Neurospora crassa OR74A: one gene and its partners. The protein of the gene in region 1 purifies or fractionates together with the protein of each later gene. This does not show direct contact. Links are inferred from orthologs where the notes say so. Each region holds a gene or a part of one and is shown on either strand. Other genes may lie near its edges. The genes, in order: NCU09880, NCU02685 and NCU06622.

Region 1 (3,703 bases):
TGCTGGGGCATCGCCAGTGAGCGCTAGGGGCATGTCGCGGGATTGAACAATCATGGCGCCGTCAAGCTCAGAGGGGTCGAGGTCCATGGCGTCGCCCGTTGTCCCGGGCGCGGCAGATGCCTCCGGCAACGGTGCGCTGTGGGTTTTGAGGCTGTCGTCGTCATCGTCGTCGATGATGCTTAGCGAGGCGAGATTCTGTGGTGTGGCTGGCGTGGAGCTTTGGAGTTCTTCAAGGTATTCTTTGCTGTACCGAGGCTTCTCTTCGTCGGCGCCAAATGTGCCGAATCGTGCGGTCAGGGCGGACTTGCGAAGCGCGTTCTTCTCGGCAACTCGTTGGCTCAGCGACTTTTTGCTTGGGGCGCTGACCACGTCGCTGCTGGCAGTTGTTGTCGTATCATTGCCGCCATCTTCCGTGTCGCCCTCGCTGGCTCCGAATGATAGTTTTGAGATGCGCTTCTTCTTGCTGGAGACTGAGCGGCCGAAACCGGGCCGTACTACGAGCGGCACACCAGTGTCCTCCTCGGCTTCTGTTACCTCGGGTGCCGTACTTGTGCTGGTTGACGTAGGTTGGATTGCGTCGCCGCTGGTTTCTTGTGGATTATCGTTACCGTCGTTGATCTTGATCGTTCTTCGTAGTGACGAAGATTTAGTAGGCTTGCTGCGCCCAAACTTGGTCGGTCCTTGCGGTACTGGTTCTGTTCGAAGGCGTATCAGCTTGCTTGTTCTTTGGTTTGGTATCAGCACTGAGATTTTCTATGCTGGAAAGGGATGGGCATGGCCATATAGCAACTTACGTTCGTTCTTCGGCTCCTCTCCTCCAAGCACCGTAGGAAGGTCGCCATCCTCATCGTCAAAGGTCTGGATAATGCGTGGCTTGCGCTTTCCAAAAGAGCTCATTTTTGTGATGATCGACTTGAGTAAAGTGTAGAATGGAAGTAGGTTGTCTGACAGGGAGTTTGTAATACAGTGATGTAGTATTGAGGCGGGCGTGTTGTTTACAGGTAAGTTTGTAGTGCAAAAAGGTGTCCAGACAGCTAGGAAGCTTCGAAATGCACCCTGGAGAATGACGCTGGTGGGCGACTGGATGTCACCACTGCACTGAACACTGCAATCACCCAAAGACGGGCAACGCGAATTGCGGTTTCTTATCTTATCAGTGTCCCCACGTGATGGCCTGGCGGCCGAAAATCACTGGGGATGGTCGCGATTGCACGCGCTGCACAAGGCCCGCCTTCCAGGTTGTTTCAGTGGAGAGTTCCCAGCCAGAACGACGCCATTGCCATTCATTGCAGCAACTCTCTCGAGACCATCCCAGACAACCAACACAACCTCAAGATACAATGGCGCCCGCACAACCTGAACTGAAGAAGGTAAGAACTTACTCTTGGAGAATTGCCTTTCACGCTGAATGGCAGCTGGCTGGTCGAGACTATGCCATTGTCGCATCTCGAACTCCATGTTATTGTTTGTTTAGTATGGTGTAGTGAGCTAACCGACCACTTTCCAACCAGTACCTCGACAAGAGGCTCTTCGTCCAACTCAACGGCAGCCGCAAGGTCATTGGTGTTCTCCGTGGCTACGATGTACGAGATCTCCCCTTTACGAATTCGAACATGATGATTGACGGTTCGCGACGTCATAGGTCTTCTTGAACATTGTTTTGGACGATGCTGTTGAGGAGAAGGATGGTGGTGAGAAGGTCAAGCTTGGCATGGTGGTATGTTTATCATTGTAGAAAGGTGCTGACGTGTCTCCTGCTGACGAATGTGCACACAGACCATTCGTGGTAACTCCGTTGTGATGATGGAGGCTCTCGAGAGAATCGGCGGCGATGAGAGGGGAGGACAGCGCGGCTAATCAACAATCATCTTCTCGCAACACGATAAAACGACCCTGCGCATCTACAAACGCCTACATCAAAAGGCGAGGCATCGGAATAAGCGGATGGCAATTGACGGGATTTGACTATATACCAAGGCGATTTACACTTTACGACGACATCTACAGTGTTCCACGCGGTCTTGGACGGTGAAAAGCTAGGTGGGTTGGCTGGTACGGCGTTCAGTTTCACACGAGGCATGTATTCGGGAAAGCTGCATTATCTTCAACTTAGAAAGGGAAACATCTGCGGCGGTGGTCGAAGAAAAGATACCCAAAGGATTTTTTTGTTTTTCATCACGTACAGCTCTTCTCCGACAACAGCTGCTTCCACGTCTTCTCGTCATAACCGTCCACCATGCGGTCGCCGTACATCCGCACCCAGCCTCGAATCCCGCCCGTCATGACCTGCGACTGAAGATCGCCGCCTACTTCGTTGATATAGTCTTGCATCCAGGCGGCACATCGAGGGCCCCGACCAGCGGAGGAGCCTGGGGGAAGAAGCATCGGTGTTAGAGAGGGTCGGCGGTAGAGGTACGAGTTCAAAAGAGCATAGGATTGATTGGACTCTGTCCCAAGAGTCAATGACAGAGAAAGTCAAACACGTACCACAATAGAAGACCACCTTTTGGATCCCGGCCTGTTTGCACAAAGCGTACAAGCTCTTGCGCGTGGGGAAGAAGCTGTGGGCGGGCAGGTTGATTGATGAGCTGACAGTTCCCCCGGCGCAGTCTGTCCGGCGACAATCGACAAGCAGCAATCTGCGCGATTGGGGCATGTCATCGACATGTTCTTGCTGCTCAAGAAGCTCGAGGACAGTCTGGGGCTCGATATGGACCGGCGTCGAAGTTGGCTCTGGAAATGCTGCCCACCACGGTGTACCATCCTCGCGCCTAGCCATGCGCAAGCAGTGTTCGTGAACGTGTATCGTCATGTTGAGGCCGTTGCTGAGTTGGTTTCTCATTGACTGATTTCTTAGGTTAAGCGGAAGAAATGTACCGTTGATGCATTGTCCGGTATATGAAGGGCAGTCAGGGGTAAACTCTTTGTTTGCCACACTGGATTGGGGCGGCTCTGAGATCTAGTCACATCTTTCAGCAAGCCACGCCGCCAATACTCATCTCGCGGGACATGTCCTCGGCAGTCACGTCCTATCATAAATCACTTGTCTCGTACGATCGGATCCTCTGATGCCGTAGATGGGATACCGCATCCGGAGGTAGTCCTTCCTATCCTATTACTCCATGGAGTTTTTCAGGAGATCGCGGCTAAGGGGGGACGACAAGATGATTTCTTCACCAGCTCATCAACGCGACATACTGCCTGGTCTCGTCGCTTCTATGCAATTTAGTAACCATGAGCATGTTATTTTTCTTATTACCCATATTCATGCCCCTCGCCATTTACCCGTAGATAACTGATAGCTCCGACATCTTGGTTTACTCGGCCCGGCATATAGGGGGATATCACATAACGAATTGTTGAGGTGTGTAAGTTGCAGCACCAGGACACCTGCGACAAAGCGCACCAATCAATATACATGTCGTTGTATGGAAGATTGATAAAAGGTTAAACCACGGCGTTTATAAGGTATACAGTAGCAAGACGCTCCCTCCAACAGCCCAGCGACACCTGAGAGCTATTCTGATTTATACGTCACGGCGTAACTTCCACCAAAGAATGCCCACATCTCCCAAATCAGTCTGTGCTCGCTTCGTTGTTCCATTCATTCATCATAGTACTCCTCCTCGAGCTCCTCTTCATACTCCTCTCTCGCCTCCTCGAGCTCTTCCTGGTCACTACTGCTTGCAGAAGACGACTGTGC
Region 2 (4,145 bases), about 3.2 Mb from region 1:
CTGCAAACTCTGAAAAGTTTCTGGTGGTCTAGGAAATCCGGTGATGCCGCCGGCTTCTGCCTCAAGAGGTCAAGGTTTTTCTTGACCACTAACAGTTTCTCTTGCTTCTTTTGTATTTTGAGGTTGGTAAGATGGTTGAGAAGGTAGTTAGACTGTATTTCTGTTGGTTGAGGGACAGAAACCTCATGATGACTGCGCTTTTGTGAGAGTGTGTGGTATTCTTTGCGGGCTTTGATGTTCGCGCGCAATGCTTCGAGGAATTCCCTATACAGACCTCTAGTATCTTGTGAGTAGGAGGGTACTTCACTTGACTCGGTGAGAGACAACGGTTCTGTCAGCGTTGCTCCGTCTTTCAAGCCCGAACTGAGGTGAAGTGTCAAGATCCGTCTGATATGGGCGGCTTCCTCGCGAGGCCTGGTGTATGGTTGCAGCACCTTCTGAACAGCTTCTAGCGTTTCTCGAAAGGAATCCATCGTGTAGATAATTCCAACTTGACCTGTCTATCAGTATTGGCTTCTTTTCATATCAAGGCATAAAACAGCTTATTGGTCAAATTGTGAATGACTGTGATCATCGATGAGCTCAGCCCGATGTGAGCAGGACGGACATAAGAGAGCGTGGTATGAACCAGAGGTATCTCAGTTTCCAGCATTCAAATGATTGTTCAAATAGCTCGTGAAGTAATACGATTCGTCCCTCTTGGTGGTATGAAAAAGAGGTATCGTAGAAGTCGGAGCCCATGGATCAGACTTCTGCCACCTATCTCGAGTTGCTCGATGGGTTGAGATCGTGTTGATGATTGTGCCTACCACCTTTAGGATGTTTGTTAGTGCACCTTGACCAACCTCTACACACCCCACGGGGTCTCCGCCTATGCACTAACACCGCCCTGACAGCAAGGTCAAGCTCCAGCTGTTCAGTGTGTTTACGTGCTGTCCAGGCAGCCAATGAGAGTCGACGACGGCAGCATTGCATAAAAATTTCCAGCCGTCATGACTGGAGCCACACCTATCTCTGCACCGCTTGCCACCCCTACCAAGCCAAGTAAGTTCCTGCTGGCTGGCAAGAACCACGCCTCTGGCTCAACCTTTCCAAACTGAACGCCAAACTCCAACCTTCCTTTCGCGACAACCGCGACAGACTTCTGTCGGAAACCCATCATCTCTGTTTCCGCCCGACCCCAGATTCTTGATCTACCCATCGATGCGACCGGCGAAATACTACTTATCAGCCAGCAAAACCAACGCTTGGTTCGGGCCGGGCTCGGGCTAATTTATCGCCACTGCGTGCACGCAAGAACAAGCACATTTTATCCCCAAAGGCCGAGTTGAAGATATCACCAGATCGAGACTCTTCCATCCGCTACGACCTCTACTTCGATCTTGACGTATACCTCAAAACATTTCATAGATTTCTTTTTTTCTTCTCCGAGCTGGCAAGATGACGGACCACCACCGCGATGTGTCGCAATATAAATACTCGGCCATGTCCAACCTGGTTCTCCAGGCGGACCGTCGTTTCGTCACGAGGCGTACCGATGAGGCCACGGGAGACCCCGAGTCCCTAGCCGGGCGTCTGTCCATCAAAGATATGGGCTCCAGAGTCGCTCGCGACTCAGCACCAAAGCCCAAGAAGGCGGGCGCCATGCCCGACGTCGAGCGGGGCAGTCTAAGGGAAGGTGCTGATATCCTGCAACGAGAGAAGAAGAAGGGCAAACTCGAGTCCGCTACAAGAGGTGGAGGTATTCTTACTGGCGCCGACGCGCTTATCGAAGGTCTCCGCTACCGCCCTCGAACGCAGCCGACGCGCGATGCCTTCAACCTTATCCTCACCATTGTCGCCGAACACTTGGGCGACGTGCCCCATGAGGTCGTTCGCAGTGCTGCTGACGCGGTTCTCGAATATCTCAAGGATGACGACCTGAAGGATTTTGACAAGAAGAAGGAGGTTGATGATATTCTTGGAGTCTCGATGGGGCCCAAGCAGTTCAACGAGCTCATAAATCTCGGCAAAAAGATCACGGATTACGACGCTCAAGATGAAGACGAGGATGCGGGCGATGCTAGGCAAGAAGGCGACGACGAGATTGACGGTCGCCAGGGTGTTGCGGTCAACTTCGAGAACGATGAAGATGATGATGGCATGGTTGATGTTGTTCGGGACGAATCTTCCGATGAGGAGGATTTTGCGGAGGATGAAGAGCTGCCTGACAGCAACGAGGTGGTCGATGGTGAAGGAGGTCAGGAGGAGGTGGTCGAAGATATTCTGAACGGCGAGGCCATGGTCATCGATTCAGCACCGGAAGGGAAGAAAAGCGGGTCTGACGACAATTCCATACCCGCCAGAGATATCGATGCGTTCTGGTTACAACGCCAGATTGGCCGGCTATATCCCGACGCACATATCCAGCATGATAAGACAATGTCTGCGCTCAAGACTCTTTCCGGCGAGCCCGATGAGCCAGGTGGTGAAGAAAAGCAGCTCCGCGACATCGAAAACGACTTGATGGAGCTTTTTGATTACGAACACCACGAGCTTGTGCAAAAACTCATTGCTAACCGGGAGAAGGTCGTATGGCTTACTCGGCTGGCCAGAGCTGAGAATGAGGAGGAGAGAAATACGATCAAGCGGGAGATGGCTTCTGAGGGTCTGCGTTGGATTCTGGACGAGCTGGAAGGCAAGACCGACGGCGGCCAGAAGAAGATCAAGATGGACATCAAGATGGACATTGACTCGGGGGCCTTTGCTGATAAGGAAGGCCAAAAGCCTGAGCGTCCCGAGGGACAGCTAGTCGGAGGTCTGCAGCCACGCAAGTTAATAAACCTGGAGAACCTCATATTCGATCAGGGTAACCACCTTATGACCAATCCCAAAGTACGACTTCCCGAGGGCTCGACAAAGCGCACCTTCAAGGGCTATGAAGAAATCCATGTGCCCCCACCAAAGAAGCGCAACGACCCCAGCGACGCCCATGTCCCGATTTCTGAAATGCCTGAGTGGGCTCAGATACCTTTCAGCACGGCCAAATCGTTAAACAAGATTCAGTCAAAGTGCTATCCTACTGCCTTTGGTGATGATGGAAACATGCTTGTCTGTGCTCCGACGGGCTCTGGCAAGACCAACGTGGCGATGCTCACCATCCTTCGTGAGATCGGGAAGCATAGAAACGAAGCCGGCGAGATCGACCTGGACGCCTTCAAGATCGTCTATATCGCGCCCTTGAAAGCCCTTGTTCAAGAACAGGTCGGCAACTTCGGAAAGCGTCTCGAACCATTCGGTATCAGGGTGGCCGAACTCACTGGCGATCGGCAACTTACTAAGCAACAGATCTCGGAAACGCAGATTATCGTTACGACCCCCGAAAAATGGGATGTCATCACGAGAAAGGCTACTGATCTCTCCTACACCAACCTGGTCCGCCTGATTATTATTGACGAGATCCATCTCCTTCACGATGACCGTGGTCCTGTGCTTGAAAGCATTGTCGCCAGAACCATCCGCAAGACAGAGCAGACCGGTGAGCCTGTTCGCATTGTGGGCTTGTCTGCCACTCTGCCCAACTACCGCGACGTAGCGAGCTTCCTGCGTGTGGATACGAACACCGGGCTCTTCCACTTCGATGGTACCTTCCGCCCTTGCCCCCTCCGTCAAGAGTTTATCGGCGTCACGGACAGAAAGGCCATCAAGCAGTTAAAGACCATGAATGATATCACCTACCAAAAGGTCTTGGAGCACGTAGGACAGAATCGCAATCAGATGCTCATCTTTGTCCATTCCAGAAAGGAAACGGCAAAGACCGCCAGGTACATCAGGGACAAGGCTTTGGAAATGGACACCATCAACCAGATCTTGAAGCACGACGCCGGAACCCGTGAAGTCCTGAGCGAAGCCTCCAACTCTGTCAACAACACCGATCTGAAGGATATCTTGCCCTATGGCTTCGGTATCCATCATGCTGGTATGAGTCGTGCTGATCGTACCGACGTCGAAGATTTGTTTGCCAGTGGCCATATCCAGGTTCTTGTGTGCACAGCCACTCTTGCTTGGGGTGTCAACCTTCCAGCCCATACCGTCATCATCAAGGGCACGCAAGTGTACTCGCCTGAAAAAGGTAGCTGGGTTGAGCTCAGTCCTCAGGATGTGCT
Region 3 (3,906 bases), on another chromosome or scaffold:
ACTTCAGCTGGGATCCCGCTTCCGGAGGCCCAAGCCCCGGTCGAGACCCAGGTCGAGCTTGAAACCGAGCGCCGCTTATCAGCTTCAACTCCGAAAGAGGCGAGCGTTGAAGCGGCAGCAGAAGAACCGGTTCCGGAACATTCGCCCCGGGCCTCCCCTCTTAGAGCGGCCGTCACTCGAGCTGCGCCGACACCAGCCAAACTAAACAAGTCTCTTCCTCCGCCGCCATCTGAGTCCCCAGATCACCTGTCTCAGCCGCTTGCTACACCTCAGGCACCTACAGTCGCGAGTGTACCTCAAGAACAGCCAAGCGTCTACCGCTCGCCTTCAATGCAATCCTCGAATGCAGAGAACCGACCCCCATCGCCGAAGCAAATGACCCCAATAGTCGAACGTCATGCTCTAGCACCAATGGCTACCACACCGGACAGGCCCACTTCTCCTTCCAAACGGACGATTCTGGGTGCCCTTCAAAGCACTAAGCCTTGGACCGCGGCAGATCTAGACAATATATTCTCGCCCAACAAGAACGACTACGATAAGGAAGACGGCATTGACAAACTCTTGCACAAGGGCAGTGAGCTCACGAGCCCGGAAAAGCGGATGACCGTGGAGGAGTGGATCTATCATAATGCCAACTTGGCTGAGCAGAGATTGAAGAGGGAATGCGAGGAGATGGTCCTGCTGTTTGAGAAGCAGGGTGCCAGAGCGATGGAAGCTTTGGAGGGGCTTATCGTCGAGTAGTGAGTGAGTGGCACGACCCTTGGGCACCAAATTATCAGCATAAAAGGACGAGAGGTGTGGATTCGCATACTAAATCCCGCTTCTGGTTCAAGGTCGGGCAAATTCTGTGTGTGTGTGATACCAGGTAATGGACATGGAACTTGCGTGATGCGTTACATAGCAAGCTTATTGTGTCAGTGACTTTGGCTTCTGGTTTGAGTAGCATGGAAGGCGTCATTCGACGTCCGGTTAGACGATGTAGGGATAGCATTGTTGGTGACGTTACAATGGAATTGCACAATAGTGTGCATCATAACGAAACAAGCCCTAAAGTTACAGCTGCAGGTTCTTTAGATGATGCCGGGTTGGGGATCTGGACTAAAGAGCGAGTGTGATGAAAGTGGTTTTGGTTTTTCCATAGCGGGCGGTTAGTGGTTGTGAAAGCGTTTACACCAAGAAGTAGAACGAAAACTTGACAGCAACCTGGCGAGATAGCGAGTAAGAAACATTTTAGGCCAACAAGAGGGCAGAAAATGAACATATAATATCTGACTCTAGTACCCTAGTCTTTCAGACACAAACCGTGTCGACTCTGTTTAGGAGCTCCGTGTGGTTGCGACTTGCAAGTAATCCGACGCGCAAGGGTTAGGGTTACTACATCGTCCGTTTTTTTTTTGCGGCGCTGTCCATGACTTCATTGGGGCAGGCAGCCTTGTCAATCTACTTTGGTAACTTCACTACAGCCACCAATTACGAACCACGCGACGCGCTTCAACCTTTTGCTTCTTTAGTTGACTTCCATCAATTTCAATCTCGAAGGCGAACACAGGACATACGGCAATTCTCCTGGCTGTAATCAATAATTAATCACCTGTTTGCAAAGCCCCTTTGCGCCGCCGTATTACAAAAGCACCACCAGCAACAACCATCACAAGGTACCGACCGGCATCGCAGTAGTAGTAGCAGCGACAGCTCGACAGCTCCCCGTCGTCGTTGCACTCCCGTCGTCACAATGAGGCTGACGGCAGACCTTATCAACAACTCCCTTTCCTATCTCAATCCGCTTAAGGAGCGAGAGATAGACCTCCGAGGTGCGTTCCATCGAGAAGAGCAGATACTGCACGGTTGATCTTCAAGTTTCCAAAAGCGCGTACAAAGAACAGAGTTGATATATCGAAAACCTATGTTGGGTTGGGATACATGCAATAGGACACAGAATACCTGCTATTGAGAACTTGGGCGTTGCTGGGGTAAGTTTCTCCCTTCTCCTGGTTCTTCCTCTACTGCTAGTCCTGCTACTGGTAGCCCGTTTCAACCAAATTACCAATTAATGCAGTTTGCTAATCCGGTCGCTACTACAGCCCCACGATGCCATTGATTTCACCGACAACGATATCCAAGTGCTGGGCAACTTCCCGCTCTCTCCCCGCATACGCACCCTCCTGCTCGCCCGCAACAGGATCGCCCAGATCCAGTCGACCCTACCGAATGCGACCCCGAACCTGAAGAACCTCGTCCTGGCGTCCAATAATATTGGCGAGCTGGCGGATTTGGAGGTGTTGGGAAGGTTTCCAAGGCTTACGCACTTGGTCTTGACGGACAACCCCGTTACCAAGAAGGAGGTACGTCACACAACGCCCTTTCGTCGCCCAGTGTTATGCGGCTGAGAGAGAATCGGAGACGGGGGTGGCAAATGGAATGAATGTACGGAATGGCTGACAATGTTTGTCGACACACAGAACTACCGCTACTGGGTCCTCTGGCTGTGCCCTCAGGTTCGCTTTCTCGATTACGTCAAGGTCAAGGACGCCGAGAGGCAGAAGGCGAAGGAGCTGTTTGGAACCGCTGATGAGCCGACGGAGTTGGCCAAGACGGTATGTACCTTGTCTTCTTTTTCAATGTCATGACAACCCTGCTAACATGCAAACAGATAAAGGGAATCAAGAGCAAGACCTTTGACGTTGGCGCCAGCTCCGCCAACGGTGCGGCCGGCAGTGGTCCTTCCTCGAAACTTTCGCGTCTCAAGCTCACAGAGAAAGAGAAGAAGAAGTTGCAGGATCTGATCAAGAAGGCCGACAGCTTGGAGGAAATCATCAGATTGGAGAAGGCGCTCAACGAGGGACGGCTGCCACCTGGCATTATCGCCGAGGATGACGATGCCATGGAGGAGTAAGGAGGAACCAAGGTGACGGGCACCTGACGAACGTGGTAGATCAGGTTGCTATATGTTCGTGATATGATGGCTTGCAGAGGTGACGAAAAGGGGGAGGACGGCACTTCAAAGAGCTTACCATTTGTCGGCGTTCGGTTCTAGATGGGGCTTACTGCAAAATAACTGTATACCAAATTGCGCAAATTTGCTGGGTTGAAACAGAGATAGTGAAACATGATAGTGGTGTCATGATTTCACCGCAGCAATCGGAGCGGCCTTGAGGAAAGGGACGTTAGGACGAGCATATCAAGGGCCCATGGTCTTTGATTCGGCAACTCTACACCTCTTAACGTCTTGTACTCGCCCGGATATTCAACACGTCTATTCGGCTCTGTATGTATGGACAGTCACTCAACTAACCCGTCATATCCACATCCCCATCATGACCCCGATACTGCTGTGACGCCGCCTGCCTCATCTCCATCTGCAACTGCGCGCTGGGATCCTCGTCCGACGTAGTAGCTGGCGGTGATGCCGACAAGATACCCCTATTCATGCCGCTCATCACACCAGGAGTAGAACTAAATGGTCGTCCCGAAGCCGACGACATGCCCACCACACCCGTCGTGACACCCATATTGGTAATACCGGTATTAACCCCGCCAGCACCGAGTCCATTCACCGGCGCCGCCAGCCCTCCAATGCTTCCACTAGCACCGCTTCCTGTACCAGCAGGCAACCCCCCATTCATAGACATCAAGATGGACGTTTGCTGCAACCCGCCGGACCCCTTTTGCTTCTTGGCATTCGGCAGCATCGCCATCCTATCCCGCTCATCTCCATGATCACCCACTTGTCCCTGCTCCAAAGATAGCATAACCCCCTCGGGAGCTGCCAGTCCTCCCATAACCGGTCCAGGCGCCAAAACGACCGCGGCGGCGGTCCCCGCAGGAGGAACCACAACGTCGCTCCCGCCCTTGACGCGGGCCCGGGCGGCCGCTGCTTGCGCCTTGATGGCTTTGTAGGAAGAA

What was found.
Region 2: the proteins of NCU09880 (region 1) and NCU02685 purify together in Saccharomyces cerevisiae (affinity purification with mass spectrometry; 5 studies listed by BioGRID, with this or other methods). This does not show direct contact. The link is inferred for Neurospora crassa OR74A from reciprocal best matches to the Saccharomyces cerevisiae genes SMX2 and BRR2.
Region 3: the proteins of NCU09880 (region 1) and NCU06622 purify together in Saccharomyces cerevisiae (affinity purification with mass spectrometry; 3 studies listed by BioGRID). This does not show direct contact. The link is inferred for Neurospora crassa OR74A from reciprocal best matches to the Saccharomyces cerevisiae genes SMX2 and LEA1.

What each region holds. Positions count from the first base shown.
Region 1 is NC_026501.1:6,357,789-6,361,491, reverse strand, and holds NCU09880 (small nuclear ribonucleoprotein SmG), read left to right. Parts: upstream 1-1,226; 5' UTR 1,227-1,340; coding exon 1,341-1,370; intron 1,371-1,511; coding exon 1,512-1,583; intron 1,584-1,642; coding exon 1,643-1,717; intron 1,718-1,776; coding exon 1,777-1,857; 3' UTR 1,858-2,175; coding exon of another isoform or gene 2,176-2,369; 3' UTR 2,370-2,487; coding exon of another isoform or gene 2,488-2,812; 3' UTR 2,813-3,116; downstream 3,117-3,703. Other genes in the region: NCU09879 (hypothetical protein), read right to left, coding at 1-695, 795-897; NCU10125 (hypothetical protein), read right to left, coding at 2,176-2,369, 2,488-2,812; NCU09881 (hypothetical protein), read right to left, coding at 3,605-3,703. UniProt on the Saccharomyces cerevisiae protein: Plays a role in pre-mRNA splicing as a core component of the spliceosomal U1, U2, U4 and U5 small nuclear ribonucleoproteins (snRNPs), the building blocks of the spliceosome.
Region 2 is NC_026501.1:3,198,480-3,202,624, reverse strand, and holds the start of NCU02685 (pre-mRNA splicing helicase), read left to right. Parts: upstream 1-1,326; 5' UTR 1,327-1,440; coding exon 1,441-4,145. Other genes in the region: NCU02686 (hypothetical protein), read right to left, coding at 1-160, 275-473.
Region 3 is NC_026504.1:1,833,327-1,837,232, forward strand, and holds NCU06622 (U2 small nuclear ribonucleoprotein A'), read left to right. Parts: upstream 1-1,436; 5' UTR 1,437-1,735; coding exon 1,736-1,814; intron 1,815-1,932; coding exon 1,933-1,973; intron 1,974-2,084; coding exon 2,085-2,345; intron 2,346-2,462; coding exon 2,463-2,597; intron 2,598-2,653; coding exon 2,654-2,896; 3' UTR 2,897-3,290; downstream 3,291-3,906. Other genes in the region: NCU06621 (hypothetical protein), read left to right, coding at 1-744; NCU06623 (hypothetical protein), read right to left, coding at 3,291-3,906. UniProt on the Saccharomyces cerevisiae protein: Involved in pre-mRNA splicing. Associates to U2 snRNA in a MSL1 dependent manner and is required for normal accumulation of U2 snRNA. Required for the spliceosome assembly and the efficient addition of U2 snRNP onto the pre-mRNA.